Linked DNA regions of Daphnia pulex. The protein of the gene in region 2 interacts with the protein of the main gene of each other region in a pairwise test. Links are inferred from orthologs where the notes say so. Each region holds a gene or a part of one and is shown on either strand. Other genes may lie near its edges. The genes, in order: androgen-induced gene 1 protein-like and RING finger and CHY zinc finger domain-containing protein 1-like.

Region 1 (3,250 bases), on a different chromosome or scaffold from region 2:
TTGACGTTAAAAAAAAATCATTGGTTCTCACCATCTAATTTATAGTTTTAAAAAAGGACTTGTTTTGATAAGTGATTGCGTCCGTCCCCATTGCTTAACACACATTAAACTCCCCGTTCATTAATTGTATAAGAAAAAAAAGATCATGCGTCTGGTTCAGTGCTCCGAAAATTACATTATTGTCATGTATGATGTATTTTTTTCTTTTACAAATCGAGAAAAAATAACAAAATTGTTGGCCCCCCGTTGCTTGTTTCATTTTAAAAACCCCGATTACAAAAATTGGCTGCTGTATCTCTATGTAATTCGTTCTCATTCAAGAAATCTGGTCGTGTACGCTCCGACTGCCTTAACTTTCTTCAAAAAACACTTTCTCTCTAGCTCCAAACCCTTTCATCAATAGTGAGTGTGCTCTGTAGCACTTGGATTGTATATAAATACAATTTGTAAATTTATATAACTTCGTTGTCTTTATTGTAAGCGTTTTGAGAGACGAAAGAAGAGATAATCATTGAGCCTAAAAAGAATTTATTTTCAAATGTCTGAGTTAATTTCCATTTATGTCTACGGGACCCGCGAGTCTATTCGTGGCAATTGGAGCTCACGGAATGTATTATGCATTAATTTTGTTTGCGTTTATTTTTGCCTTCTTTGGTGGCTTTTGGTAGTTTGTTCTCTTTAACGATTTTTTGAGAAGACTTGACTGTCTTAGAAGTTGGTTCACCTGTCATCAATCGTTCAATTCAGGTTAATATCTTAAAAACTTGTGAATTATTATTAGCAGATCTTACCCCAGACAGCATAATGGAGTTTTTCTCCAGAAAAATACATAAACGCCGATAAAACCATGAGACCGACTATAAACAACAAACGATAACCCCAGTGCAGGACCGCTAAAACGGGATAAACCCAAAAATCGGTTTTGAAAGCGATGACAAATACCCTATAGAGAATGTGAGTTAATTAAAACACATTTCTGCATAAAATTGAGTGAAGTTTCTATCCATTACCAAGCAAGATATCCAAGCATGAGTACTGAGAGTCCTGACATTGCATGAGATCTCTTTGGAAATGTTTTTGGAATGAATAGCAGTTCAATAAAATCCAGAGGAACAATTGAAGTGTGCATGATGTGGTTCAACCAACCTAAATTTATTCCCCACAATCAGCACTCCAAATCCACATTCACAACTTAGAAATTAGTACCTGGAAAGAATGCATCAAGAGCAACTGGAAAAACCAATTCACGGTTAATGGCCCACAAAGCCCAGAAAGTGCTTGCAACAAACTGTTTAAGAAGAAGAAGAGGTAAATTAAGGTTTTGCCCTTTATATAATTCATACATCAGATGTCTACCATTCCTAAGGGGAAGACAAGTGATCCAAAAACATAATCCCTTAGTTTTTGAATAACAGTTCGATCTTTCTTGTTGACAAAGTTGCTGCCAAACAGATCATTTAAGAGAGAAAATGAAAAGTAGACTAGTTGAAGTACCTAAAATAAGAAAGATAAGAACTGGTAACATTACAATCCAACTTCAAAAGAAAAAATAAGAGTGTAAACAAGTTACCATGTTCCAAAAAGTTAAATACTTCCATCTTCCAGCAAAGTCAATTGAAATTTTTGAATAGTCTTCAGGCAACTTTAATTCCACAAGGTCATAGTAAATACCATAAGCAAAATTTATGGCAGCAGCCAAGTGAAAGAGGAATATAACTGAGTTTTGCATTGTGATAAAAATGTGCACTGTTTCGTGAAGTCTTTGATTTTTAGACAATCAGAGCAATAGCAAGTGAAATTTTCTTGATAAAGAGATTCAGGAATGGCTGGAAAATAGTACGTCCGTCTCAACCCTTATCTATCCATTTTCATAAGATAGAGTCCTACACAGCCATGACGGCACACAGAACAACATTTAATCGATCGCTGTTGATTCTGTCAAATATCAAAAGCTTGATTATTGAACAATTTTGATAACAGATGGCGTTAGGCACGAAATTAACAGACGAATTTTTGGCGCTACTAGACAGACAGATCTCCATGCATGAATACATAGACATAGCCGGACATAGTAACATAGTTTCCCGCTTCAGAATTCTGTTTGTCTGTCTCTGTCTTCGTGATACAGATACACACGTGTTTGTGTTTAAGTTTTGAGGGCAATATGTGCCTCTTGTCGACAATTAATAATTTATTGATCAACGAGTTCATTGTAGATGCATAGATTGTACTCCGATTTTCTTTCCTCTCATGGTTCTTTGATTGATTGCCTGAGTGTGGGACAACGTTTTCCATTTTAAATGACGATGGATCACGAAGTAGCGGAGGGCGGCTGCAAAAACTGCAGCGTTTTACGAAACGTAAGATGCTTGAACATTCTACCATGTTATAAGCCAGTCTTTAATAATCATATTTGTATTACTAATAGGAAATTGACAAAAGAACGGTACAGTTGGAGAACAGCAATGCCCAGCAACTAGCTGGTTTCTTGACTCTAAAACAGAAAATAATCGGCACTGAGTATGAAGTGTTTTACTTTCATTTTACATACATACTAAGTTTCAATTTGTTTCAGTAAATTAATTCGAGAGTACCAGTCCTCCAAAGTGGAATGTGATATCCTAACAAGAAAGAATGAGGAGTTTGTTCATCTTATTGACCAACTTCATCGGGATTTGAATACTCGTAATCAAGAGTATGCAAAAGTTAATGGTAGCATTGAATTGTTAAAAAAGGTATTTTCCTTTCAATTCTTTTATGGCTCATAACTTATCAGATTTTATATTTAGGCTAATGCAGATTATGAAATGAAATTCGAAGAGTTGAACGATGAAGCTCAAAAATGGAAGTCTCAAGCAGAAGCAGGAGAAAACTTCACATCTCAGCTTGTTGCAAAAGTTAAAGTTCTGGAGAAATATGAAGAGGAAGTGAAACACACTGCTTCTGTGTCCAGAGAGTGTGAAAAATTGGAAAACAAAGTCAAAGTTATGAAAGGTAAAACATTTTTGTTTTCTGCTGTTTCCTATTAGTTGGTGATTGCTCACTGCCTGAATTGAGGCATATACAAAGCTAGTTTAGGGTAGAATCAGTAAAAATTAAGCTTCTTCATCATTGCTGGTAAAGCTGGATTTACTCGAAAAGGTACTGGCGCTCATTCGTATGAATCCAGTGGTTGTAGCGTTATAAACAGAATTCGGTAGCTCCAAAACCTTTTGAAAGAAGCATTTTAAATATTAAAGTTCGCACTTAA
Region 2 (3,931 bases):
TCGGAAATTTGAAAAAATCAAAAGACTAACGGGGTTGGGACTTGGGAGTCAGATTTTGTCAGTAATTGTATTTGGTTTGATTGAGTGGATATTTCGAACGTTCTATCAATAAAAAGACTCGTGTTCCAATTCTTTGAAAGTTGCGGGTTCAAATAAAAATGTCTTCCAAAGAAAGAAAATGAGAGTATAAATTGATCGATAATGACGCTGCGCTCCTCATCTGATAACCTACAGCCAACGGTCTGTAACACGTGGGTCACTTATCTTTCTCGTCGAATAAAAAAACGCACATGAATTGAAATTGAAGGCCTTCTAAACAAATTTACCCAACAAAATCTTAAAAATTTGCAATGCTACTATAATCTCCATGCGAGAGAAGGAAAAGGGGATGACAAGGTCGACATTAAAAAAAGTTTTCGTGAATAAGTAAAAAATCTTCAATTGTCGCAGCTATTTATGTGCAACAGGTCACATTGGCTTACAATCTTTCGTACATTTCATAGAAAATTAAATTACCAGAGTATGCACAACCTCGCAAAAAAAGTCGTTTAAGTGTTTTTTCCTACCTTCGTAATGGTCACACGTGGGATTTGATGTTATCATGTTGAGGGTCGGCGGTTTGGTCGATTATGGTGTTTTGTCCCCAATTGTTCGGCAATGTTCTTTTCAACTGCTTACGAGATCGATGATTCACAATTCACAATCACAGGAAATGATTATGGCAATAATTATTCAGTCAGAGTTCACAGTCGCGCTATACACACTTTCAAATTCTACTGCCAAATTGTTGAGCATCCGACCTCGTGGGCCGCACGAGAACAACTAAGTTTTTCAAGGACCTTGCTGCCCTTTCAATAGGTAGGGTCATTTGCATATTTTTCTCAATTTGAACGTAAAAAAAAATTTCTTCGATTTTCTCCTTTCCTCCTTTTCTCCTACCTTACCCCGGTCCCCGGCCTTAAGTCCATTAATATTTCAAAACATGCACTCCGATAGACTGTATAAAACAGTATGGCAACATTCGAGTGTTTTGATTTTGAAGAACCGCTTTTAGAAAGGACAAGGAAGGGAGCTAGCGACATCTCGTCACAACAAATTTAAGTTCGTGATTAACCAATTAAAGATTAGAGATGAGAAAATTGGATGAAAATTAACTTGCTGGTTACTCTGGATTCCATTGGGAAATTAGTTTTTAAATAAATTGCTGCACAAACAAGACAAACGTGGGAAGTTAGGAATTTTCGGAAAGAAGTCGACCCAACATAGTTCATGTTCATGCCGCTAGGCTAAGCCCAAACCTACACGCTGTACACTAACTGGCCGAAACTCGTGTTTTCTTTTACACTGTGTACACACACTGCCAGATACTGACTCGTTGGAATAGGTGGAGGAGATAAAATGGCTGAGGAGAATGTCGAATACGGTTGCGAACATTATAAACGAAAATGCAAATTAGTGGTAAGTAGTTCGACACTTTGTTCTTAACCAAGTAATGTTGTAACTCAAGTTGGTCGGGAAATAACTGTGGGCACAATGTCTGAAAAATGACCATGATATCTCCTCGTGAAGATAATGCGGTTTTATAGTAATCCTGTTTAAAGTTGTATTGAGAAGTTAAATACTTAATTATTTATTATTTTACTAAACAATAATTTTGTTTTGTAGACACCATGCTGTGACAAAGTTTATACTTGCCGTTTTTGTCATGATGAGAAGGAGGAACACACCCTTAACCGAAAAAATGTGGATGAAATTATGTGTTCATTGTGTGAAACAAAACAACCAGTTCAACAAAACTGTTCCAATTGTGGTATCCTCTTTGGACAGGTAAAGTATCAGACTTTTTTCTTTTCTTTTTTTTTTCAAAATAAAGAAACCTTGATTTTGTTTTGCAGTATTTTTGTGGAAAGTGCAAGTTGATTGATGATGAAGATAAAAAGCAGTATCACTGTGAAGGATGTGGTAATTATTATTACATTTTAAAACCAATTATATTTAATCTTTGGTGACAACTCCTATATCTTACTTTTTCAGGAATATGTAGAGTCGGAGGAAGGGACAAGTTTTTCCACTGCCAAACATGTGATATGTGCTTACCAAAAAAACTTGAAAATCAGCATAGAGTAAGCATTTTTGTGGGATTCTAATTTATACATAAATTATTTTGGTTTTTAGTTCATTCAATTAGTTATTTTTGCTCTGTTACAGTGCGTTGAAAAGATGAGCCGAACAAATTGCCCAATTTGTTTGGAGGATATTCATACATCAAGAATTCCTTCACACATCCCATCATGTGGTCATCTGATTCACCGAACATGTTTCAATTCATTTATTCATCGTGGTCACTATGCCTGCCCAGTTTGTCAACGTTCAATGATGCCGATGGAATCGGTACTAAAATTTAAATTTATAAAACGAATTATAACGTTACCAATTGTGTTTCCATTCTAGTACTGGCGCATTTTAGACGATGAAATTGCCTCAACCCCAATGCCAGTGGAATATCAAAATTTTTTTGTCACGATTTTATGTAACGACTGCCATCAGGTTAGTCATTTCTCGGCACTAAAGAGTTTTTAAAATGTTATTATAATTAACAATTTTTTTGCAGTTTTCTGAAGTTCCAATGCATCCCCTTGGAGCGAAGTGCCAAAATGCACCATGTGGATCGTACAATACGTGCAGAAGCGGTGGTCCTGTTAATAGACCTGGTAATTATAATTTTATTAATCTAGAGGAACTGCGTACCACAAATCAACTTTTTCTCTTTTTTTTTAAGCAGTCAGAGAACAATCTCCTAACTCGGAATAAATGGCCATGATTATCAAGGGAATAGGATGTTGTTTGTCATTTACTTGGACGGCGGTTTTATTCTGTTGACATGCAATAATTTTATTGGCCATCTACTAAATGGTCGAGTTTGTATTTTAAAGGCTTTTAAATTTTCATCCGTGAATCTTCCACCTTATTCGGCGGTAGGCATCTGGAGCCTGTTCGTGAAATTGGATCGAAAGGTTTTGTGAATTTTTTTCTTATCGTTCAAGTTACTCGTACCCCGTCAGCCATCCTGCTGATGTTTGATACCTGTTTTGTTGCCCTTACCTCGTTGCAGTGGCTAAATTGCCGTCATATTGTAATGCACCGTAGTGAGTAAAAAAAAACATCAGACAAAAACAATGGGTAACATTTAGAAATGACTCCTCGAGTAGTTTGAAAATGGACACTGCCAGAAAAGTTCATATCCGAAATTATGAAGATTCTTCTGTGCAGCTTGTGAGTTTCTTGTAATTTTACATGTCATATTATTACAATTGATTAAGCACTTCTCTTCAATTCTATGTGGAATGTACCTTCTGAACATTTTCAAATAACAATTCTGTATAAATATACGTTGTTACCTTATTCACTGGCCTTAAGCAGTAATTAGATCGTTATTTAATTCTGGATGGCAACAACATACACACGCACACACAAAAAAAAAATTAACAGTGAAGGATTGGGCAAAATGCGTAGGGGATCTTATTAGGAGACCGGTTCAAACGGTTCGGCTATACGGTATACATGTACCAATTGATTATTAGGATCTCCGGGATTGGGTTCTGCCACCAACACTAAACTACCGGGTTCAGCTTGAGCAAACGCGGGATTGGCTTCTGCAAGAGCTGGAGGGACTAGAAAAGATGGAGCCTGGTTAGGAGTTCCAGGAACTTCAACGACGGTTAACCCACCTTGTTCTAAACCAATTTGTCCAAGGGGAGAATTCAGCAAACTGTCGAGTGGAATATTTGAATTTGGAGCAGTAGGGTTAGCATCCTTCGAACAATTTGCTGGTTCCAAAGCATCATTCTCAGTTGGGTTTGCTGGTTGTTCGTCGTCATAATCAAGAGGCTTTACATTCTTTCGTCGCGTTATTTTACCAGATCGGGATCCA

The links.
Region 1: the proteins of RING finger and CHY zinc finger domain-containing protein 1-like (region 2) and androgen-induced gene 1 protein-like interact in binary tests that used the Homo sapiens proteins (3 or more experiments, as listed by UniProt). The link is inferred for Daphnia pulex from reciprocal best matches to the Homo sapiens genes RCHY1 and AIG1.

What each region holds. Positions count from the first base shown.
Region 1 is NC_060019.1:10,201,666-10,204,915, reverse strand, and holds androgen-induced gene 1 protein-like, read right to left. Parts: upstream 1,918-3,250; 5' UTR 1,730-1,917; coding exon 1,571-1,729; intron 1,495-1,570; coding exon 1,357-1,494; intron 1,289-1,356; coding exon 1,207-1,288; intron 1,147-1,206; coding exon 1,011-1,146; intron 944-1,010; coding exon 792-943; intron 725-791; coding exon 621-724; 3' UTR 512-620; downstream 1-511. Other genes in the region: dentin matrix acidic phosphoprotein 1-like, read right to left, coding at 3,096-3,209; microtubule-associated protein futsch-like, read left to right, coding at 2,301-2,360, 2,429-2,520, 2,576-2,735, 2,790-2,994. UniProt on the Homo sapiens protein: Hydrolyzes bioactive fatty-acid esters of hydroxy-fatty acids (FAHFAs), but not other major classes of lipids. Show a preference for FAHFAs with branching distal from the carboxylate head group of the lipids.
Region 2 is NC_060018.1:4,447,393-4,451,323, forward strand, and holds RING finger and CHY zinc finger domain-containing protein 1-like, read left to right. Parts: upstream 1-1,296; 5' UTR 1,297-1,398; coding exon 1,399-1,458; intron 1,459-1,665; coding exon 1,666-1,827; intron 1,828-1,895; coding exon 1,896-1,962; intron 1,963-2,034; coding exon 2,035-2,123; intron 2,124-2,208; coding exon 2,209-2,391; intron 2,392-2,451; coding exon 2,452-2,547; intron 2,548-2,611; coding exon 2,612-2,711; intron 2,712-2,779; coding exon 2,780-2,811; 3' UTR 2,812-3,402; downstream 3,403-3,931. Other genes in the region: protein KRI1 homolog, read left to right, coding at 1-29; transcription factor TFIIIB component B'' homolog, read right to left, coding at 3,523-3,931. UniProt on the Homo sapiens protein: E3 ubiquitin-protein ligase that mediates ubiquitination of target proteins, including p53/TP53, TP73, HDAC1 and CDKN1B. Mediates ubiquitination and degradation of p53/TP53; preferentially acts on tetrameric p53/TP53.